Pelodiscus sinensis: one gene and its partner. The protein of the gene in region 1 purifies or fractionates together with the protein of each later gene. This does not show direct contact. Links are inferred from orthologs where the notes say so. Each region holds a gene or a part of one and is shown in the gene's direction. Other genes may lie near its edges.

Region 1 (12,508 bases):
GGGAAGGGGAAGCAGGGAAGCGAGCAGCCCAGGTGTCTGGGCCACTGAGTCTTGATGCAGGGGCAGTACACTCCTCAGTAGCCCTGGCTGTATTTCTGAAGAAATCAATGACAGTAGTCCGAGAACCCAGACGTTGTCTGCCACACTTGCTCCCATGCAATGTGAGGATGTGTATGCAAACATGACTACAGAACACAAGAATGGCCATACTGGGTCAGACCAAAGGTCCATCCAGCCCAGTACCCTGTCTGCAGATAGTGGCTAATACCAGGTGTTCAGAGGGAGTGAATCGAACAGGTAACGATCAAGCGATCTCTCTCCTGCCATCCATCTCCACCCTCTGACAAACAGAGGCTGAGGGCACCATTCCTTACCCATACTGACTAATAGCCATTTATGGACTTAACCTCCATGAATTTATCTAGTTCTCTTTTAAACCCTGTTATAGTCCTAGCCTTCACAGCCTCCTTAGGCAAGGGGTTCCACAGATTGACTATGTGCTGCGTGAAGAAGAACTTCCTTTTATTTGTTTTAAACCTGCTGCCTATTAATTTCATTTGGTGGCCCCTAGTTCTTATATTATGGAACAAGTAAAGAACTTTTCCTTATTCACTTTCTCCACACCTCTCATGATGTAAATACCTCTATCATATCCCCCCTTAGTCTCCTCTTTTCCAAGCTGAAAAGTCCCAGTCTCTTTAATATCTCCTCATATGGGACCCATTTCAAACCCCTAATCATTTTAGTTGCCCTTCTCTGAACCTTTCCTAATGCCAGTATGTCTTTCTTGAGATGAGGAGACCACATCTGTACACAGTATTCCAGATGTGGGCATACCATGGATTTATATAAGGGCAATAAGATATTCTCCATCTTATTTTCTGTCCCTTTTTTAATGATTCCTAACATTGTTTGCTTTTTTGACTGCCGCTGCACACTGCATGGATGTCTTCAGAGAACTAGCCACGATGACTCCAAGATCTCTTTCCTGATTAGTTGTAGCTAAATTAGCCCCCATCATATTATATGTATATGGGGTTATTTTTCCCCAATGTGCATTACTTTACATTTATCCACATTACATTTCATTTGCCACTTTGTTGCCCAGTCATTTAGTTTGGTGAGATCTTTGAAGTTCTTCACAGTCTGCTTTGGTCTTAACTACCATGAGCAGTTTAGTATCATCTGCAAACTTTGCCACCTCAGTATCAACAGTGTATGCTCACAGACAGTGACAAGAGTAGAAGCCATGTGCTTTACCTTGGGGGGGGGGGGGGAGTGTACACAGTGCAGGCAGACGGATACAGCATGCCAAGTGGCTAGGACACAGACAAAGGTCTCAATTCACAGTGATGTCTCCCAAGGGTTACAATCCATGGAGGATCACTTCACTCCCCCAGGATTTTGAGCTAATCTGTGTGAACACACACACAGGGAACCGATGGGCTTGTGGTGTGGTGTAACGTGAGGCTCATGGAAGGGGGCCTGGGGCTCAGGGACACTGTGGGCAGGGATGACTGACTGCCTCTCTGTTTTCTGCGTTCTCTGCAGCGGAACCAGCGGGGAGCGAGGGATCCTCCAGCCCTGCGGTGGTGGCACCAACGACCCAGGCACCAGTCCGGCAAGCCAGGCAGTGCGATCTGCTCCTCCCGTGTCACATCCAGGCTGTGGAGCGGATGGGGGACACGGTTAGCAGCAAGCTGCGGGCTGACATGGAGTGGTGGCAGCCAGAGGCGTAGTGAGGGTGTTATGCACCTGGGGGCAAAGGAAAAATTTGCACCCCTTCCCCCCTGCCGCCATGTGACACAGCCTTGAACCTGGTGCACAGCTGAGGGGAACTTGTACTGCATCTTCCCATGAGCAGAATGAATTTTGTGTTGTGCACCAGTACTGAGTTCATGGGGCTTGTTTGGATGTGCCATTGTGGAACCCAAGTTATTAATAAATATTTTATAAACCTTTACTTTTTCTCTCTGCTGCCATGTCTCCTCCCCTTGCTCCATCAGCTCCCCTGGTGCCTGCTGCCCCTCAGCTCCTCACCCTCCTCTGCTGTCCTGACTCCTGCTCTTCTCACTGCCCTCCGCCCTCCTGTGACCTGCCCCCCTCCACCAGCCCTTCACTCCCCCCTGTGCCCACTCCTCCAGTAGCCCCACTCTGATCATGTGAGCTACCGCTCCTCATTCCCTCTCCTAACACCTCCCTCTACACACCTGCCCTGCTTCTCTGCTCTGGTGCTGGTCCCTCCCCTGCAGGTGTCTGCCCTTCTGCTTCACCCCCAGAATCCCCTGGCACCTGCACTTTCCCTTAGCCCTGCATCCTCCTGGTGCCTCCCCCTTTCCTCATTGCCCCTGCCTCCTTTGCCCTCTTTTTCCCTGATGCCCACCCCCTCACCACTCTCTGCCCCCATTGCCCTCATGCCCCTCTGTGCCCTCACAGATGCCTTGCTCCATCCCCACCTTTCACATGCCCACCCCTTCTTTTAAGCCTTCTCCCAGCACCTCCCCCTCCGGCCCCCAATGCCCTTACCCTCTCCTCTCCCAGCATCACCCTGTCCCCCCTCCCACTGGCACCTCCTCTCCTGCCCTTTTCCTATTTGTCTCCACTTGGCCCCCTGGCATTTGTCTCTCCTCCAGGCTGTCCCTTGGTGCCTTCCTCTCCCAGCTCCTCCCCCTCCACACAAGCCTCTTATTCTCCCACCCCTTCCTCTTTCCGTCCCCTTCCCCCTGCGCACAAGCCCCTTCCTCTCCCTCCCCCTCCGCACAAGCCCCTTCCTCTCCCACCCCATCCACCTCCCCTTCCGCACAAGCCCCTTCCTCTCCCGGCCCTTCCCCCTAGTTTTCCCCCTTCCCTGCCCTGCCCAGTGCCCCCCTAGCGTGGCGCCCAGGGGCAATTCCCCCCATGCCCTCCCTTTGCTACGCCTCTGGTGGCAGCAGGCGTTGGGCCAGTTCCTCCAACACTGCGATCTCATGTGTGACACCATCTCCACCCTCATGTCGCACATCAGCCATGCTGTGCACTCTGGCATGGCCTGGCACCCATCCTGCCTACTTCCCTGTGATGCCTGCCCCAACCCGGCCTGAAGGACGCCGAAGCCTTTGTACCCGCAGAGGCACTGGCAAGAGCTGCCCCTCCCAGCAAGAACTCCCCTCCCAGTTGAGAGTCCCATCCTCCTCCCCCTCCCAATTGGGAGTCCCCTCCCACTGCCCACCCAGCAGTCTGAAGGTGCACCCCACTTGGTTGCGGGCCCGGTTCAGGTATTGGTTGAATGTTTCCTGGCAAGGGTCCATGTGTCCAGTGTATGGCTGCATCAGCCACAGCATGAGAGGGTAGGCCGTGTCCCCCACAATGCACAGTGGCATGTGGACGTCCCCAACCGTCAATTCCTGCTGGGGGAAGAAAGTGCCCGCTTCCATCCTGCAAAATAGGCTAGAGTTTCGGAGGATGCAGGCATCATGTACCCTACCCAACCACCCCACATAGATGTCCATGAAGTGGGCACGATGGTCCACAAGGGCCTGGAGCACCATTGAAAAGTACCCCTTCCGATTGATGAAGTGGGCTGCTCAATGCTCCAGTGCCCGGATGGGAAGCCCATTCATGGCTTCCCCGCAGTTTGAGAACTCCAGGGCAGTGAAGCCAGTCATGGTTGCGTCCACGTCCCGCAGGCGGATGACCCTCTTGAGGAGGATGTCATTGATGGCTCAGACACCCTGCAGAAGGGCACACAGGGAACACACAAGAATGGGGCAGGGTGGGTGTATAAGCCCTTGGGGGGGTGCCTGCCCTCCTGTGATGCCCTCTCCCCACCAAACACGCTAGGGCCCCCTTGCCCCGGAGCCTCATCCACACACACCAGACAGGCCTATGTGAGGGAGGAACGGCACAAGCCCCTGGGGGTGACAGGGCTTCCCCCATACCCTCCCAGGCTCCCACAGCCTGGAGTCTTCCCTTCCCCTGGGCAGGGACTGCAGCCCCCCCGAGGGCCTTACCTGCATCAAGACGGCACCCACTGTGGACCTGCCCACCCCGAACTGGTGTGCCGCTGAGTGGTAGCTGTCTGGGGTGACGAGCTTCCACATGACGATGGCGACCCTCTTGTTCATAGGGATGGTGGGCCGCAGCAGGGTGTTGCCTATGAGGAGCGCAGAGGTGAGCCAGCCACACAATTCCAGGAACATCTACTTCCGCATCCTGAAGTTGTGGAGTCACTGCTAGTCATCACATTGCTCCAGGACCAGCCGGTCCCACCAGTCGGAACTGGTGTCGAGTCTCCAGTATCGCCTCTCCACAGTGCGGAAGGGATGCCACAGTGAAGCCGCCACATCCAGGGAGAGGGAGTCCAGAGTGAGCTCGGCATTGAGCTTGTGCAGGAGTAGTGAGGCAGCATAGAGCAGCAGCTGCAGGCACTCCAAAATGACAGTGTGGGGCCAGAGCAGGCACAGGGCCATCCCTGGCTCCATGGCACAGCAAGAAGGCAAAAGTCCCCAAAAGCACTAGCGCACAAGCTGTGGTGTCCAAAGAGGAAGAGGGCAACCACAACAGGAACTGCTACAGCTTTCAATCCCTACCAGGAGTCCCAAAGCATGCAGCAGCAGAGAAACAGCTGTCCAGGGAGATTGCTTTAAGCACATGTCTCAGAGGAGCTCCAGCCTCCGCCCCCAGAAGGTCCCGGTGCCCTTTTGCCCTGTCTGAAGTGGTTCCGGGAGGGAGGTCTTTGCCCAAGAGCGTCCCACCAATGTGGTCGCTCTCTTGTGCAAAAGCGCTTTGCTATTGTGATGCGCTTTGACCACTGTGGACGCACTCTTGTGCAAGAACTTTTGCACAAAACAGTTCTTCTGCAAGAAGCCTGCAGTATAGACATAACCCTAATGTTAAGTTTGCTCCTTTTCCTGGGTATTTTGTACAGCATCAATAGCAAATGTTTCAAGATTTAAGGAACCCCTCAAAATGTAATGTGTTAACAGGAAAGGTGACAATAATCCCCTTAAATTCCAGAGGCTCCCAAAGCATGTGACAAAACATAAGCAGCACAGTTTCCATCACTTTCAAACACAGCACAGCCACTTTTGGAATGGAGGAGCTAAAGAGGAAATGAAATAAATACAAGCTTTATAGTCAGGACAGGTGGTACATGTGTCCCCTTTAGTTTAAGTGATAGAGGCCAGGGTGTGAGTTTTATTCCTGTTGATAACCCAGGCCAGACACCAAGACAAAGTGATAGCCCAGATAGGATTTTGACTCCTGGGCTGCGTTTAGATTGGCAAGTTTTTCCGCAAAAGCAGCTGCTTTTACGGAAAAACTTGCCAGCTGTCTACACTGTCCACTTGAATTTCCGCAAGAACACTGATGATCTCATGTAAGATTGTCAGTGTTCTTGTGGAAATACTATGCTGCTCCCGTTCGGGCAAAAGCCTTCTTGCGTAAATGCTTTTGTGCAAGAGGGCCAGTGTAGACAACACGGTATTGTTTTGCACAAAAAAGCCCCAATCGCGAAAATGGCGATCAGGGCTTTCTTGCACAAAACCGCGTCTAGATTGGCACGGATGCTTTTCCGCAAAAAGTGCTTTTGCGGAAAAGCGTCCGTGCCAATCTAGACACTCTTTTCCGCAAATGCTTTTAACGGAAAAACTCTTCCGTTAAAAACATTTGCGGAAAATCATGCCAGTCTAGATATAGCCCTGGGCTACGTCTACACTGGCCCCTTTTCCGGAAGGGGCATGTAAATTTCACTAGTCGTCGTAGGGAAATCCGCGGGGGATTTAAATATCCCCCGCGGCATTTAAATAAAAATGTCCGCCGCTTTTTTCCGGCTTTTAAAAAAGCCGGAAAAGAGCGTCTAGACTGGCCCCGATCCTCCGGAAAAAGCGCCCTTTTCCGGAGGCTCTTATTCCTACTTCAAAGTAGGTTTTGACCAGGTTTTGCCGACTTCTGATAGGGTGAGGAGGCTGTTCACTACAACGGACAAGTGTAAAGGACACTTGCTTGAGGGGGGACTAGGTAGTGGCCAGGCACATCCCAGCCAGGAGGATCCCACCTTAGAAAACAGGCAAGATGTGGGGGTGCGGGTGGTGCTGCAGCTCGCCCTGTGCATCTCTGCCCTACGGACACTAGGAGGAGGCTGCAGCTTTAAGCACGAGCCACACCCAATTTTTGCAGCAGTTCCCCCACGGATGATTCACCAGCCGGTCTGGCTGCTGTTTACTTCAGGTTCCCCACGTCCCCGCCGAGCAGGGGCAGCGCGCTCGCCGCGGCAGAGGCGACCATGTCAGGGATGGCAGCGAAGTTGGCGAAGGAGCGGGAAACAGCCCGGGGCTTGGGCTCCAACGCGAAGGCGTTTAAATACCTCAGCCAGGACTTCGAGGCGCTGCGGGACGAGTGCCTGCAGGCTGGCGCGCTCTTCCAGGACCCCGCCTTCCCCGCCGTCCCCTCTTCCCTGGGCTACCAGGAGCTGGGGCCCACCTCGTACAAAACTCAGGGCATCACGTGGAAGAGACCAACGGTAGGGGCGCGACCGGCCGGGGGTGAGGGAGGAGGGACAGAGAAGCAGGGGATTGGTGTGAAGGGCAGAGCAGAGCTGAGCGTGTTTGGCTGGTGGGAAGGCTGCGGTGATGGGGGGGCTCCTGTCCCCCCTCCCCCATACCAAGGGGGAATGTTGGTGGCAGGGAGATGCCTATAAATAACAGCTGGACTTTTCCGTGCACAACGACAGCTGCAGAGGAGCCCAGCCTCCTCATCGTAACCCCTGACCCCTGAATCTTAGGAGCCAGGTGTGTGTGGGTTGTGGGGGAGGGACACCTGCTTTGCGTTTTGCATTCGGGCCTTCTCTTTACTAACGAGCCAAACCTAGCCTCTGGGCTGGGACCACCCCAACGTGGCTGGGGATCGGTAGCAGAAGGCTCTACTTTTGTCTTGAGCCGGCTGCAAGAGATGAAATGACACCGGACTAGGTTATAGCAAAAATGCTGCTCTTAACCGGAGAGGGGGAAGTTGCATGAATTACAGAGCCCCAGGCTGCGAAGTCGAGGAGGAAGAACGTACTTTTCCCAAGCTCAGCACACAGAGCAGCGAAAGCTTGTCTGTTGCCTGAAAACCTCCCCCCCCCCCCCCCCCCCCGAAGAATGCACCTTACTGACTCCTACTCAATAGGAGCAGCCTGCTAAAGGACCAAGGGAGGCACCTCTGAGATGCATGGGGCAGTCCCTCGGCCAGGACCTAAGAGTGCAGATGCACTAATGGCTCAGCGATGTGTAATGGGAAAGTTAAAAAAGTGCTAATTCTGTTTGGATTTATTTAAACTTCTCTGGGCTAGAAAAGTAGCTAAAAAGTTTATGGAAACTATGGAAATGTCTGGGCTTGCAGTGCTGATGCTTATTAATAAACATGAAGGTTAAGTCTCTGAATTTCACAGATTCACTTCAAGGACCTCTTATTTATATTGCTGTAGGGCAGGAGTGTCCCCACAGAAGTCAGGGGAGCTATGTTGATAAAAACTTGGGTCCTGATCTTCCTCCTGCAGCTATTTAATGTTTATTCCAGATACCTTGCTCTTGGCTCATCTTGAGTTCAACACAGTAACTGTGTTTACTTTAAAGACAGGAGTCAGTATTTGAAGCCACCCAGGCAATGACTGGTTTTCCGTGCAAAACTCGATGAAGGGCAAGACTCAATAATCCTCATTCACATTCTATTGCCCTCCCACAATGTGGTCAGTTGAAAACAGCTTTTTTTAAATATGTAATAGTGCCAGGAGGCTGTTCTCTGCTGTGAGTTAACTCATTTGTTTGCATTCCCAAAATACATAACTAATTCAGCATGGTTTGTTCATATTGAACAGGTGTAAACAGGTATGAATTCATGTCCCAGCTCCTACACTGTCCCCACCCTCAGATCCACTCCCCTCTACAGCTACACAGGTCTCTGGTGAAATATACTTGTCAAGTTTGAGAGGTATTGCAAGGACTGTATCTCCATTACCATCTATTCTTTTTCCTTCTTTTCAGCCAACTAATGTTGCTTGCTCCGTTCTTCGTTTTACCAGTCACTGAGAGAGTCTTTCTTGCTTCAGTTTCCCTATTTGCACCCTTCCCCCTAGACTTTCTAGATCCCCTTCTTTCTACCCTGATTGATACAGGGAGGTTATATTTTCCTACCAGCTGTGCAGCATCCCTTATCACTTTGTTTATTGCCTACCTTTTGCAGGGGTACAGAGGAATAAAGTTGGTCAAAATACTCAGAATTTTGCACCTTTTGCAAAGGGCCACATTCATCCTTGGTGTAGTAGGAGCTACATTATGGAGGAATTTGGCTGAAAATGGCCCCAAAAGAGCATTGAAACTGCTCCAAGAACAAATGGAAAAATCCTTCAGGGCTAAGAGCCAAACAACTAAAGCCCAATCAATATGCTTTCCTATGAAGGGGCTGGCCGCAAAGGCCTCTGTTTACTCAGGAACCACTCTGGACAGTGGTGCCACTTCAGATTTGGAGGAGGTGGCAACTTTAACTGCGATTTCAGGGGATACTAAGGCACTTCAAAACATTTAATTTTTGGCAGATAGCTTGCAATTTGCTGACAGGAGCACTGTATCTTTTTATCTCTCTCTGTGTGTGTGTGTGTGTGTGTGTGTGTGTGTGTGTGTGTGTGTGTATATATATATATATATATATATATATATATATATATATATATATATAGGGAGAGACCGACCGACCCCTGTTCATTCAAGAACTCTTCCTAAACAGTAAGACCTAGGACCACCAAATTTGATATGTGGCTTCCTTTTGTCATAGCTTAAAGGAAGTTCTGGGTTTGTTTGCCCCAGGGAAATGTGACGTGCCTGGAATGGGACTGTTTTCCATGACATGGAAAGGGAGGGGGCTGATTATAGGAGACTTTTATTTAAAGTGAGCACTGTGGGCAGCAAGCACAGGAGAGAGCTATAATGCAGAGTGAATGGGGAGGCAGCGGAGTGGCCACCTGGGCCATATGACTGGCCACCAGAGCACATAAATGCCCCCTGCCCCCAAACAGTGCTACCAAGGGAGGGGCATCTATGCACACCAGCCCTGCTGTCTCTGCGCCCATCAGGGACCAAACCTGAGAACGCGGCCCATCCCCAGAAATGTTGCAAGTTGGAGGGGCACTGGATGCCAGGCTGGCCTCCAGAACCCTGCCTTCCCTGACCAGTTGCAGGTTGGGGGGGGGGGAGAAGCTGGAGATTGGGGCCAGCCCCCAAAGCCTCACCCTCCTTGGACCAACTGCAGGATGGAGGAGGCAGCTGGAGGCCAGTGCCAGCCACCGGAGCACTAGGCCCATGCCCCTTGCACAATCTGGAGGCTAAAGCTGGCCCTCCAGTTTTGGCCCCCCAGGAGGAGCCACCATCCAGAGAGTGCACCCCCTGACCCAACTTCAGATTCCCCAAGCCCCTACCCTGACTTCTGCACCCCCACTTCCTGCTCTGAGCCTCCCCATACTGAACCCTCACTCTGCCCTCACTCCATCACCATCTGCCCTGAGCCCCTAACACCTGCCAGCCCCCTGCTTTCATTCCAGAACCTCCTGCTCTGAGCCCTCCATCCCCCACACCTCCAAGGCTCTTCCTTTAACCCAGCACTCCCACTCCCTGCCCTCAGTCCCTGAACCCCTGCATGCCTGCCCCCCCACACCTCCCAGCCCCCTGCCTGAGCACCCACATGCCTCCCAGCCCCCTGTTCTGAACAATCATTTAAATAAATAAAGCATGTACATTTTCTTTTTAATTTAAAAAAAGAAAACCAAACCTACTACCCTTAAGGACCCAAGCAACACCAGGTACATATACAAGTTCCTATTATAAAAGAGAAAATTAAATATTAGACCCAGTCAGCTCTAATAATAACATTTTCTGATATCTTGTGGAAGTCACTTAAGGGATATTGGTTCGGTTTAATATTTTAATGTGTATTTACTTTGTTACTAACTGTGCCGAGAGAGAGCTCGAGCTCCTGTCAGGATTCCTGGGTTCTATATCTGCTCTGGGAAGGGAGTGGTTTCTAGTGGTTTACAGCAGATGTATGTACAGCTGGGTTCTTTATAAGAATGGCCATACTGAGTCAGACCAAAGTTCCATCTAGCCCAGTGTCCTGTCTTTAGAAGGTGGCCAGTGCTAAGTGTTTTAGAGGGAATGGACAATAGGTAATCATCAAGTGAATCATTCCCAGTTGTCCATTCTCCTCTACTGGCAAACAAAGGCTAGGAACGTGCAGAGTGTGGTGTTGGATCCCTACTTGTTCTACCAATTGGTGGACCTGTCCTCCAAGAATGTATCTACCGTAAAATCTCGAGTATGATGCACACTTTTTTCCAGTTTTTTAGGGTCAAAGCCAGGGTGCGCATTATACATAAGAGCTATTTTTTTTAAAGTTTTAACTCTCGCTCCCCTCCACACAGAAACTTTCCTGCTGCAGTGTGGCGCGGGGGCCACAGCCCTGCCAGGATTCCAGACAAGGCAAGGAGCCAGCTGCAGCGCCCTGGCTCACTGCCTTCCCGGTGGTCCTTCAGGCTGTGCCAGGGGACCCCCGCAGCAGACACAAGCTCAGCGCGATGCGAGCTCAGCTGGGCAGGGGGACCCCGCGGCAGGTGTGAGCGCAGCGCGGCATGAGCTCAGCTGGGCAGGGGGACCCCACAGCAGGTGAAGCAAGGAGCCGGTGGCGCTGCTAGGCTGCATAGCCCTGGTTCGCTCCCTGCCTGGTCTCAGCATGGGGAGCTAAGCAGGGGGCTCCCATGGCAGGCGTGAGCTCAGCTGGACAGGGGGCCCCGTGGCAGGCGCAAGCCCCTTCCTTCCTATATATACCGTAAAATCGCGAGTATAATGGGGGTGCACATTATAGATAAGAGTTCAGTTTATTCTAGAATTCTGACGTTTAAAAGATAGGTGTGCATTATACTCGCGATTTTACGGTAATTCTTATTGGAACCTTGGTATAGTTTTGGGCTTCACAACATCCCCTGGCAAACAGTTCCACAGGTTGACTGTGAAGAAATAATTTCTTTTGCTTGATTTTTAAATCTGCTGCCTATTAATTTCCTTGGATGACTCTGAAGCTTGTGTTATATGAAGGAGTAAAGCCTCATTCAATTTTTCCATGTAACTCTTGATTTTTATAGACCACCTATCGTATTCTCCCCCTTTCCTCTTGTCACCTCTTTTCCAAGCTGAAAAGTTCCAGGTTTTTTAATCTTTAGTCATACAGAAGGTGTTCTATGCCCCTAATAATTTACCTGTCTCTGTACCTTTTCCAAATCCAATATTTCCTTTTTGAGATGAGGTGACCAGATCTTCACACAGTATTCAAATGTAGACATACCATGGATTTATAGAGAGGTGATATCAGGCTTATTAGCTATCCCTTTCGTAATTAATTCCAACATTCTGATAGCTTTTTTTGATTGAGCAGATATTTTTCAGAGAACCACAATGACTCCAATATCTCTTTAATGTTGGGTTCAGTTAATTTAGACACCCCCTCTCCTCACCTCCACCCATCATTTTGTATGGATAATCAGGATTACATTTTGCCATGTGCATTACTTTGCATTTATCCATGTGGAATTTCATTCATTACTGTGTTGCCTGGTCACCCAGTTTTGTGAGATCCCTTTGCAGCTCTTTGCTGTCAGCTTTGGACTTAACTATTTTGAGTAATTTTTTATCACCTGCAAACTTTGCCACCTTTCTGCATATCCCTTTTTCTAGCTCATTTTCATTTATGAATATATTGAACAGCACTGCTCCCAGTACAGAGCCCAGGTCACACCACTATTTAACTCATTCTATTTTCACTATTTATTTCTACTTTTGTTTCTTATCTTTTAACTGGACTGTCTGCAATTGCTTTCAGGATCATCCTAAGGATCCTTAAAGCACTTCAGTGGCAGGCCTTTTGTTACCCTAATCACACTACCTCTGTTTATAAACCAACTCTTTACCCCAAAGGCTGTGCTGCTTCAAGTGTCCATATTACACTCAAACAGTTGTTACAGGTAAAAGTTCCATCTGGAACAAGGGTGAGTAGACCTCCACTCAGGCCCACTGATGGAGGGGGAGGGGAAAAGGAGCAGTTGCCCCTGGGCCTGGCAATTCAAACGGGCCCAGGGCTCCCAGCCACTGCTACTGCAGCAACAGTGGTGGCTAGAGCCTTGGGTCCTTTAAATTACTACCATGCGGTGCACTCTGGGCAGTACTAAGGGCTGGCTGGGGAGAAGGAGCATGGCACAGCACACTTTGGTTGGCACTGAGGGCACTTCCCCAGCCATGCCTAGGGTTGCCAGATGTCCGGTATTGACCTGGATAGTCTGGTATTTTTGCCTCCTATTCGGTAAAAAAAATTCAGAAAATACCAGACACCTAAAATGTCCGGTATTTTCTAATTTTTTTTCCCTGCCAGAAGGTGAAAATACTGGACACCTGGCAACCCTACGCATACTCAGCAACTGGGCCCAGCCCCCATCCAGACCCTCTTTGGGCCCTCT
Region 2 (12,305 bases), on another chromosome or scaffold:
TCCATTTATGCCTGACATCTGTGCCAGCCCAACAGCTAGCAGAGCCAGGAGAGTGTGCAGCATGCTCACTGCTGTTCCCAATGTAACGAAAAGTGAAGAGCAGACTTTACAGAAGATAAATTGTGGAGCATAAAACCTAATCTATTAGCAAAAAAAGGAACAACATTAGGGATATATATTTAAGAATAGGTTAGATAAATGTCTATCAGGGATGGTCTAGACCAGGGGTCTCCAAACTACGGCCCGCGGGCCGGATGCGGCCCGCGAGGCCCTCTCATCCGGCCCGTGGAGACCTTTTTGTCTGGCCCCGCCTTCTTCCGCGTGCCGGTGTGACGAGGCGACCCCCGCCCGTCCCTGGGGTGCCGCCGAACGGGCCCTTCTTGCCGCGGGGGGGGGGGCCCTGTCAGGGGTGTGCGGCGTGTACTCACGCCGCGCAGGGGCAGGAGAAGCGGGCCGCTCCGCTGACAAGCGGCCGCGCGGCGGCAAACGGCGCAGGGGGCGGGGGTTAGCACGGGCGGCGTTCCCCCGCCCAGACTGACAGGGCAGCCGGCCAATCAGGGGGCAGGATGGGCGGTGGTGGTAACGCCCGCCCGGCGACGTGCGGGGGAACGTGAACCCCGGCGGGAACTTTAAAAAGGTGACCCCTTCCGCCCGGGGGGGGGGAAGGAGTGAGCGGTGGCAAGCAGGAGGGGAGGACAGCGTGCAGAGGAAGGGGAGAGCAGGGGGAAAAGCCCCCCCCCTTCCGGGAGAAACGGATTCGCAGGCGAATATTCTGAAGAGGAAACATTAAAAGCAACAATCTCTCTACCATAAGTGGATATATTTGCACACTATATTCAGGTAAGTTTAACTTAAGAAATCATAAGAATTTTTAAAAATTGTTTCGGGTCATTTGCAGCTATTATTGCGACAAAATTAGTTCGCATAATCAGGTTTTTTGAGCGATATTGTGTGCAAGATACTTTCAGTTTCATTATTTATTCATGTTGAATTCACTTTATTTTAGTGCCCAGCGATGGCCGAGAAGAGGAAAAGAAAAATAGACGATGAGTGTCGGCAATTTCAAGAAGAATGGAGTTTGAAATACTTCTTCATCAAATCCGGCGAGAAACATTGTGTGTGATTTGCAATGAAACCGTGGCTGTGATGAAAGAATACAACCTGCGCCATCATCATCAAAGCAAACATCAGGAGAAATATGTACAGTTGAAGGGTAAAGTCCGTGCCGAAAAATTTTCTAAATTACAAAATCAACTCACATCTCAGAGGACATTGTTCAGTAAATCCTCAAATGAAAATGAATCCTTAACTAAGGCCAGTTATAAAGTTGCCTACGTCCTGGCTAAAAGTGGCAAACCCTTTACAGATGGTGAAGTAGTGAAGGAATGTTTGTTGGAAGTGGCTGAGGAACTTTGCCCAGAAAAGTCAAAACAATTTGAAAATGTAGCTTTGGGTGCGAATACCATTGCCCGCCGTGTTGCAGACATGGGTGAAAACATTGTGACTCAAATAGCGAAAAATGCAAGCAAGTTTTGCCATTTTTCAATTGCAATGGATGAATCGCTGGACAGCTGCTCCACCTCTCAACTGCTTGTGTTCATTAGAGGTGTGGATGAAGACATGAACATAACACAAGAGCTGGCTTCCCTACATAGCATGTATGGCACTGTTACCGGAGAGGATATATTCAATGAGTTGAAAAAAACATTTGCTGATTATAACTCGGACTGGACTAACCTCAGTTGCCTGACTGTTGATGGAGGAAAGAACATGAGTGGCATAAAGAAAGGCTTGGTTGGACAAGTGAAGCAGATGTGTAATGACAAAAACATTATACAACCAATGTTCCTGCACTGTATTATTCACCAGCAAGCTTTGTGTGCTAAATATGTGGACATTAGCAGTGTACTGAATCCTGTGGTGAAGATGGTGAATTTAATAAGGTCACATGGGCTCAACCATAGACAGTTCAGAGACATGTTGGAAGATACAGACACAGAATCGCAAGATTTACCATATTACACAGCAGTAAGATGGCTAAGTTGTGAGAAAGTTCTGAGCAGAGTATTTAAGTTAAGAAAGGAAATAGGTGACTTCCTGGAAAGTAAAGGCAAGCCACAGCCATTACTGTCTGATGAAGAGTGGGTATGGAAATTGGCTTTTGCTGCAGACATAACTAGTCATTTAAATTTTCTGAACCTAAAACTACAAGGAGAGCAAAATCTAGTTTCTGATCTATACACCCACCTAAAGGCCTTCAGATCCAAACTTGTCTTGTTTTTGGAACAAGTACAGGCCAACAACTTGACGCACTTTCAGCAGTGCAAGGTCTTCATGGCTGAAGCAACAGCTGAGTTCCCCACGTCATTTGCATGCGAGATCATCAAAGACCTCCAGCTGCAGTTTCAGCAGCGGTTTTCTGACTTGGATTCAAAGGCAGAAGAAGTGAGATTGTTTCAAAACCCATTTGAAGCAGATGTGGCCAGTTGCCCAGATGAACTGCAGCTGGAAGTCATTGAGTTGCAAGCAAATGACCTCCTTAGGGACAAGTTCAAAATAGGACTAGTGGGTTTTTACCAGTTTTTGCCCAAGGAAGACTTTCCTAATGTCAAAACTTTTGCATCAAGGTACCTTTCAATCTTTGGAACAACATACCTGTGTGAACAAACATTTTCAAGAATGAAATATGTGAAGAACAATTTGAGAACAAACTTGTCCGATGATAATCTCAGGTCACTGTTGATGTTAGGGACAACAAATCTAAAGCCAGAAATGTCTGCTATTTTGGCATCCAGGAAACAATTTCACCATTCACACTAATACAGGTGTTCATGTGTAGTGTATCAATGTGTTATTAAATAATAACTGAATAAAATAATATTAAATAAATAATTAAAAACAATATCCATGTTTTGATTGTTTTTTATTTGGACCTCAAGTGTGTAGTCGGCCCCCGAACTGCTGTTTGATAGTTAATGCGGCCCTCGGGCTGAAAAGTTTGGAGACCCCTGGTCTAGACAGTATTTGGTCCTGCCATGAGGGCAGGGGACTGGACTTGATGACCTCTCGAGGTCCCTTCCAGTCCTAGTATTCTATGATTCTATATTATGTACAAGGCCACAGTTATGCTTTTAAGCAGCCACCATGCAGCAGGTACACCACCGAGTTCTTAGGGAAGCAGCTAGACTCAGTTTGGCAGCAGGCCAAAGCTTGAGACTGTGGGAAGGAGAAAGTCTGAGGGTGGTGGCGGGGCCTGTGTCTTTGGCACCCCGTTTGCCAGGAAAGTTCAACTTCCCTATCCACGGGAACATACGGGCAGGTGGGGGAAAGAGGTCCAGGCATAGTGGTAGGGCAGAAGCTCACACGGTGCCCAGGTGTTTGGCACCCCATTTGCCAGGAAACTGCAACTTTCCTTCCTATGGGACCATGAAGGCAGGAGGTAAGAGGGCATGGAAGCAGGGAAAGACAGGGGCTCATGCCTGAGCAAACAGAGGTTTACTTCAGAGATATTGGCTAATAGCTTTTCTGGTTTATTCAGATTGCCATGCAAAATATCAGTATTCAAATATCTCACAGAGTGATAGGGAGCAGATGCTGACTGATTGTGGCCAGAAACCTGGACCTTAGTCTGCAATGCTTTGTGATGCAATAATGCCAGGCCACTTACTGCTGGCTTGGCATGGAAAGGTGTCCTACCATGGAGGATGGAATAAGGCTTGCCTCCCTGGAAAACTTGTGGGAAAGATTAAAGAGTTCCTCTATGAGAGCTTCCTGGAGATGTTCAGGGAGGATTCCCACTGCATTTCCAGTCACGTTAACAAGTTGTTCTAGGGAATCCACCACTGTGTGGGCAAATTAGGTGGCACAGATCACACCCAAATGCTTTAACCCACTTGTAGCATGATGAAAAATGTGAACTCACCAGAAGTGCCCTCTCCAGGATCAGTGCCTGGCTGTAAGATGTCCTGGGAGGCAGCGATTAACTCCAAAGACCTAGGTATTGGTGACATCAGTTACCCTGCTCACATGCTGGAACATTCTCCTCCACCTCCTCTTCCTCATCCACATTGTTCGCCAAACTGCTACCTGTGGCTACCAGTGTCTTGGGAGGAATCCATGGACTGGATGAAGCTGGTAGGATCTCCCCTAGGATCACATGCTGCTGCTCATAGAAGCAGCATGTTTGTGGCAATGATCCAGACTGTCCATTTGCCTCCTTGTCTTCTAGTACAACCACCTCAGCGCCTTATTTGTATGCAGCACTGCTGAGCATGCCTGTCGTATCCTTTCTCCTCCATGCCATTTGCAATCTTGGCATAGATTTCTGCATTCCTTGTGCTGGTTCATAATTCTGCAAAAACAAGTTTCTCTCTCCAGCTAGGAATGAGGTCCAGGATTTCTTGCATGCTCCATGCTGGTGTGCATCTGTGACCCTGAAAACTCATGGTCATGTATACTGCTTACTCTGTGGTCTGCTTGCGCTGGCCACACAGGAAGTGAAATTCAAATTTTCCCAGGGCCTTTTCTGTTCACCTGGAGAGCAGTAGAGTTGGAAGTGGCCGGATCAGTCATTGCGGAGCACTGTGGCATACCTCCCAGAAGCTAATAACTTTGACTTCCACAGCACTTTGTTTGTATTACTGTAAAGTTGACTATTGAAGGTCTAATTTACCATTACTCCTCATGAAAAGTAGGAATACTAAAATTGCCTTTGAAAACCCCTAAAGTCGATTGAACTGGCTTGGTGGTGTAGACTCATTGTTTAGAACAGGCGTGAGGAACATCAGGCCTGTGGGCTGGATATAGCCCCCAGTTTGCATGGATCGGGCCTCTGATGCTCAGGGCTCCATCCCAGCTTTGGGGAACCCATCGCCCCACAAGGGGCTGGAACACACAAAATCTACTAGTCTGGGCTTCCCCCAGACTCTGGCGTGTGAAGGAAATGTGGGAAGTGTCTTTCTCCTTCTCAGTTAAGGACCACATCTGTGGGGGGTTTGGATATTTTTTTCTTTTCACTTGTGTGCAAAGTGATTTTTCTGTGGGTCAGCGGCCCGGGACCTAAAAAAGGTTCGCCACCCTTGGTCAGAAGTTCGACCTAATGCGGCTACATTCTACCTAAACTCTCAGAGTAGGCCATTTTACCAAGCTCGGATACGTGTTCATAAGACCTCTGAATAAAAATGAATAATTGGTAGGGCACAAAGCTAGAGAATCAATTCATTCCCTAACTAAACAGTTATTTCCTAGTCAGGAATGTATTCTTCTCTTTGATACACATTCCACGTGCTTCGCATTATTAATTGCTGAACTGATTATGACATGCATGCTATTTTCCCCTACCAAGGAACTGGATGACATCCTTCTGGCTTCCCACTTCCCTGAAGCAGGAGTTTTAACTGCTGCTCTACCCCAGAAACAGAGCTTGAGCATACCCTGCCCACCGTCCACGGTGCAGAAGGACAGACTGATGGGCACTGGCAGGGAGTGAGGTTTAACCCAAGGGGGTACGATTGAGACACAACGTGGCCCCCCTAAGGGCTACAAGCCTGTTCTAGCCCTAGAGACTATTGGAAGGGGACGGAGGCACAGGAGGCGATTCTCACCCAGCACAGGGTTTTCTTTGGCAGTGGTGAAAATAACTTAACATTTCTTACAGGCATTGCAGTGGGGGTCCCTGCCAGCTCTTTAACTAGCTCCCCGCTGGCTTCTGCCGCAGCTCAGGCAATTCTGCAGAGGGCACGCCCGCTTACTTTCACCTCCGCTCTTTACGCACGGGAGACCGCCCATAGCGGCGGCTGGAGACGAGGCCTGGAGGGAAGTGGGTCGGCGGGGCTGGGAGACAGGCAGCCCCTGGGCGGAGTCTCTCACGGCAAGGGGGCGGACCAGCACAAGCGTGCTAGGGGGGGAGAGCTCGTGTTGGGGGCGGGGAGAAGGTCCCTCGCTGGCCAATAGGAGAGCGAAAGGGAAAGAGACCTTCCGTTAACAGCCTTAACTCAGCAGTAACTGAGGGAGCCCAGACGGCGGGAACGATGAACGGCCCCTCACGCATTCCTCCCTCCTAGCTCGAGGGCGTGGCCGAGCAGGAGACGGTGACGTAGGCTCGGCTGACAGTACGCATGCTCAGTAGCCGGGCGGAAGGAAGGACGCTTTCTACTGAGGCGGGGAGCGCCTGCTTGGTCCCCGCTGGCGGGACCGCGCGCCGGCAGCGTCTCCTCGCTGCGAGAAACCTGCTCAGCCGCTCGTCTCCGGCTGCCCCGGACCTAGCTCCTGCCCCGTGCCCGGGTCTCTGGGGTACTCGAGAAGCCACCCAGCGCTTCTGTAACGGAGGGGGGCATCCCTCCCTCCCTCCCGGGGTTGTAAGGCGCGGGGAAGGGTCGGTGGGGGGGCAGCGAGCTGCCAGTGCTTGTCTGGGGGTTCCCCTGTATGTGACGTGGGCGAACCCGGCCCTCTGCGCTTGCCAGGGGCTCCCTTTGCATGTGCTTTGCCATCACCCGCAGTAATACCGGCTATGGCGGCTGCTCGCCTACAGCTGCTCCCCTTGGATCCGGGAGACGAAGGCACGCAGAGATGCAGGATGGGACCCGCCACTCTGTCCTCTCTGGGAGCCAGGCTCGGGGCCCCAGTCAAGATCACGGTTCCTGGTGGCTGCTGTTTGTGCACTGCTTGGCCCAGGCATGATGTGACTGATGGCTACCTGCAGCTAGATCTGAAATGCAGAACTTCAGGTTTAACTGCAAGCAAGTTGAAAAGTCTCACACTGAGTGTCAGCCACTTGAAGCTTTTGGCCTGTCACCCGCTGAGAAAAGTAATAGTGAAAGTGGTACTTAGGAATCTTGCCTTGAAAAAGGCCACCCCACAAGCAACACTGCAGGAGATAGTGAAAGAGCTGCTGAGAAATGTGTATGTTTCTCTTCACCATGTTGTTACTGCTGCCCCAATTCCTGGAAATCCAGTGGTGTGTGTTGAAATACTGTCTGTAGATCCATTTACAGAACAAGCTGGCCTGATAACCCCCAAAACTAATATAAATGTTAAAGAAGTGGTCACTTTAGAATGGTACAGACACTTGTCAAATGATACCACAAAAATTTCAGTTGCAGGAATGGATGATTTGGGCAGCTCTTTGAAGGAGAGAATTGTTTTGCCTTTCCATTTCCCCAAAACCTTCAAGAAGTTGGGTATCTCTGTCCTTAGTGGAGTACTGTTGGTGGGCCCTCCAGGTGTGGGGAAGACTCTTCTTGTAAAGGCAGTTGCAAGGGAAGTGGGAGCATATTTACTTTGCATCAGTGGTCCAGCTATATATGGCTCAAGGCCTGGAGAAAGTGAAGAAAATTTGCGAAGAGTTTTTGAACAAGGCAGGGAATTGTCCTGCGAAGGACCAACCATTCTCTTTATTGATGAAATTGACTCTTTGTGCCCTAAACGGGGAAGTTCGAACAGCATCCCTGAAAATCGCATTGTTGCTCAATTGTTAACACTTATGGATGGCATAGGCAGTGAAAATGAGATGGTTGTTATGGCAGCAACAAACAGGCCCGATGCCTTAGATTCTGCACTGAGGAGACATGGTAGATTTGACCAAGAGGTGAGAAAAGTCTGTTCTTCTTGATTAGTTTCTGACACTTCAATACCATTTGTCATTTTTCTATTGAAAAATCAATTCAGGGCCTAGTGATGGTGTTCTGCAATGTCACATTCGGTGATCAGATTTGATGCCCTATGTCTTATGGTTAGATCAGTGACCCACAAAGGAGAAGGAAAAGTTACCTTTTTGCTACTTTATAGTTAGGCTTGTAGGGTTTTTTCCCCTTCTTGGTTTTTACATTGTTGATTAAAAAGCACATGTATTAAATCTGTACTTACACTAATGTAGGGCATTAACTGAACCATACTATGTTGATTAAAAACTGGAATGATTCAGAATTGTTGCACATTAAATGGGCTAACTGACAATTACATTATGAAACCTATAAATGGAAGGGTTAGGGGTTCACAATCACTGATATAGTCTGCAGCAGACACACTGTTTGGGAGAATAAATAATTGCTCTAGGTCACAGGTAAGATGCACAAGCAATGTGTGTTTTTATTAATGTACCCAAACAAAAAATAGGAATAAAGAACATGGGCCATATTTATAGGGGGAGGGATTCTATCTTGGGAAGCAGTGGCTGAAAAAGACTTAGGGGCTATGGTTAATAATCAGCTGAACAGAGGTGTCTAGTGTGACACTGGCCAAAAGCATTAATGCCATACTTCATTGTATAAACAGGAATACTGAGTTAATAGGGAATTTATTTCTATATTTGGCACTCTTGCAACTACTGGTGGAATACTGAAGTTTTAGTGTCCACAATTCAAGAAAGGTGTTAATAATTTGGAAGTGGTTCAGAAAAGAGCTGACAGAATGATTAAAGAATTTGAAAAATGTGTTAGAATAGGACAGGGAATCTTTTTTTCTGTCTGGGACCACTTACCCACAAAAAAAAATCAATTGGGGGAGCCACAAAAGCAAAAAAACCCAAAACCTCACTACTTGCCTGCTCCCAAGTGAAAAGCCAAAAAACAAACAAACAAACAAACCCCTCACTGGTCACCTGCTGTCAAGGTAGAAAAGAAAAAAAACACCTCTTGCTTAAATGGGTGACTCCATGCTCCAGCCCTGCAGGAGGGGCCTGGGCTTCTGGCCTGCAGTTCAGAGACTTGTCACTGGCAAGATGAAATTAAGCTGGGGGATGGAGCCACTCGTGGGCTATAGATTCTCCACCCTTCCTTACAGTGATACAGTCCAAAAATTCAATCTATTTAGCTTAACAAAGAGCAGGCTAAGGAGTGATTTCCATACACAAGTTTCTACATGGCAAACAAAATCTTCAGTCTAGTAGACAAGGGTGTTTGGAAACTGACTTTCAAATGGAAATGCTGCATACATTTTTAACAGTGAGGGTAAGTAACCATTGGCACAAGTTAGGAAAATCCACCATGTCCCTTCCTATCACAGAAAATGTTTTGAACAAGATTGGTCCAAATGAGCTGCTTCAGTTCAAATATGAATTGGTTCAGGGAAGTCCTGTAAGAAGTTTGTGTTACACAAGATGTTAGACTGATTGATCATAATCTACTGGATATGCAGATATGCAGCATAAAAGTACTTTTGCTGGTATTCATCATTTTGGTTGTTGAACAGGTATAAATTTTACTTCAAATGCAATTAATGGCCAATATAAGGTGTATCTATGCTTGGAGTTACACCAGCAAAATTTTTCGAGGATAGGCCTGGCCTAAAAAATGAGCTGAGCTGCTGGTAGAAATAGCAGACTGTATTATCAATAATGTATTAAGATAGACAAAATCAAATTATTTCAGTGGGGCACCATTCACAAGCACTAAAACTACATCTAAAAATGAAAAGTAGTACATTGTTAGGGCTATGGTCTCCAACCAGTTCTGAAGCAGCAGCCAGTATAGTGTCTATAGCTATACCGAACTGGCCACACTCACTGGCCAAATAGCCACATGTGGCTAGCGTGTTGGATACCATGGTTGTAGGGACTTTTTGGATTGTGCATAAATTGATGATATTCATGTCTAATAGAGGTAGTTCTAAAATCTAAGAACAGATAGAATCATACTAATTCGCACACACAATTGACACTTGTCACTTTTATGAACGATTTAATAGCAGAGTTCTATAGCCAGAGCCCCATTTTAGTTAAGGTACTCGCTTCATTATTTTTACAAAATATACCATCTTTGATTGTGTCTTATCTCAAACATCAAATGCTAACTTACAGTTGTCAAAATAAATTGACAAAAAATACATTTAGCAAAATGATGCATCCTTGTTTCCTTTATTGTTTATCCATGCACTCTCTAAAACTTTGAACCTGCAACAATCTCGATGCAAGGGTCTGTTCCAGGATGATGGCCTAAAATGTGTCATTCACAAGCGTTATCCCAGATCCTTCAAATTAGATAAATTATGCTGAACTACATTCACGCTTATCTAAATTTTAAGGATTTTGCAGCATTTAATGAAATACACAATTTTGGTTAAATTTTAGCAGATTTTCAGTAATTTATGCACATTCTCTACGCATTTTTATTTTATTCATATACACCTATTGGTCCTTTTTTGTGCTACTGAATTACATTTTTGTACAGTCATGTTTTCTTTGGTCCATGTATTACAGAGTTTAAAGTAATCATTCTCCATGGGGTTTTTTTCTATTTGACTTGTGGCCTGTACAGTTTTTTAAAATAGAAAAGTATGTTGTCACTAGCCTCCTGTGTTCTTATGTTCCAAAGAAATTATTATTTCACTATTAAATCTCCCATTGATTAATCTTTAAACACTAAGTGGCATTCTTTATAAAACATGCATTTGTTCAAATTAAAATGTATGTGTAAATGAAAAGTACTGATACAGTTCATTATATCTTCAAAGGATTATAGAGCTATTAATTAGTCCCTTGTCAAACAGTGTAAAAGGAGGAGAATTGATGCAAGGGAGTCCAAGATACGAACAATATAAGTGACTTGTCTAGGTCTGCAGAGATGAGAGAGGAATAGCAAAACACTGATAAATTTCCATTTATGGTATTTGTTTTAGATTATCATTGGAACGCCAACACTTAAACAGAGAAGATCTATTCTACAGCTGATTACTTCTAATATGCCTATTTCCACTGATGTTGATTTGATTAACCTAGCAGAAATGACAACTGGATATGTTGGAGCTGATCTTACAGCACTCTGCAGAGAAGCTGCTATGCAAGCTGTCCTGCGCAGCTGTTTGGTAAGGAGTCAGTTTAAACCAGAAAGATATCATTATTTATATTTATCACTTTTCCCCACTCTATTTTAATATATATGATGATAAATTAGGTACGTGAGAATATTCAAAACAAGCAAGCAAGCATTATAGATGTAATTATAAGCTTTCCTATAGTCTTTCAAGCCATGCCTTAAGTTGAGTGAAAAGTCAATGTAGAATATCTGTATTCTCTCCATAAGCTATTTAGTGTTGTACAAGGCTGGGAACATAAGTTCTTAATTGAAGAGCAAATGCTATATGTTTTTTTCCACTTAAGATGAACTTTTTATCAGCTACAGTCAACTTATATAAAATTCTGTTTCTTAATAAGGCGAACTATGTAGTAGTTTGTGGTTTGCACAAATACTGACTTATTTTACTAATCTAATATAACATGAATATACTGGCCAAAAGAGAACAGTTAGGGCACGTCCACACAGCAGGGCTAAAGCCAAAATAAGCTACGCAACTTGAGCAACATCAATTCCATAGTTTAAGACAAAATAGCTTATTTCAGCTTTTGGCAGTGTCTACACAGCAGGAAGTGTGAGAGAGAGCACTCTTCCTCCAACTTCCCTTACTCCACATAAAATTAGGGTTATAGGAATTGGAGTAAGAAGTCTTCCAGTTGGACGTTATTTTGATATAGTCCATGTCTATACCACATGCAATTATTTTGACAATGTTATTTCAGAATAACATTATTCTGAAATACCACTGCTGTGTAGATGAGCCCTTACAGTTCCCCATGGCACAGGAGTAATATTTCTGGGATGATGCAGATATAGATCTCAAGGAAGCATTGTTTGTTACTTCCACACACACCCCTTCGACGGCTAGCTAGGAGAAAGACTTGAAAAGCCTTCAAATGTTCCTTTGTTCAGCGAGGCAGAGTGGGGTGGAAGTCAAGACAGAGAGAGAAAATAAGGACAGCCTGAGTAATTAGTTTCCTTACCTGAAAAGATAATGAAGTAAATAATAAAGCAATCAATTTGCATGTATCTAGAAAGTGAAGTGATATGTAACAGCATGGATTTGTCAAGAACAAATCACGTCAAACCAACCTAACGACTTTCTTTGACAGGGTAACAAGCTTTGTGGAAAAAGGAGAAGTAGTAGGTGTGGTACATCTTGACTTTATTAATCCTTTTGATACTGTCTTGAGATGTTCTCATAAACAAACTAGGGAAATGCAACCTAGATGGAGCTATTGTAAGATGGATACAAAATTGCTTGGAAAATCATTCCCAAAGTGTAGCTATCAATGGCTCACAGTCCTGATGGACGGGCATAACAAGTGGAGGTCCTGTAGAGATCAATTCTGAGTCTGGTTCTGTTCAATAGCTTCACCAATGATTTAGATAATGGAGTAGAGAGTACATTTATACAGTGTGTGGATGATACAGAGCTGGAAGGGGTTGTGAGTGCTTTCAAGATAGAATTCAAAATGATTTGGACAAACTGGAGAAATGGTCTAAGGTAAATATGAT

What was found.
Region 2: the proteins of calpain-2 catalytic subunit (region 1) and AFG2B purify together in Homo sapiens (co-immunoprecipitation; 3 studies listed by BioGRID and IntAct, with this or other methods). This does not show direct contact. The link is inferred for Pelodiscus sinensis from reciprocal best matches to the Homo sapiens genes CAPN2 and AFG2B.

The regions. Positions count from the first base shown.
Region 1 is NC_134713.1:155,230,332-155,242,839, forward strand, and holds the start of calpain-2 catalytic subunit, read left to right. Parts: upstream 1-6,133; 5' UTR 6,134-6,262; coding exon 6,263-6,499; intron 6,500-12,508. UniProt on the Homo sapiens protein: Calcium-regulated non-lysosomal thiol-protease which catalyzes limited proteolysis of substrates involved in cytoskeletal remodeling and signal transduction. Proteolytically cleaves MYOC at 'Arg-226'.
Region 2 is NC_134724.1:21,258,166-21,270,470, reverse strand, and holds the start of AFG2B (ATPase family gene 2 protein homolog B), read left to right. Parts: upstream 1-6,021; 5' UTR 6,022-6,508; coding exon 6,509-7,585; intron 7,586-10,611; coding exon 10,612-10,797; intron 10,798-12,305. UniProt on the Homo sapiens protein: ATP-dependent chaperone part of the 55LCC heterohexameric ATPase complex which is chromatin-associated and promotes replisome proteostasis to maintain replication fork progression and genome stability.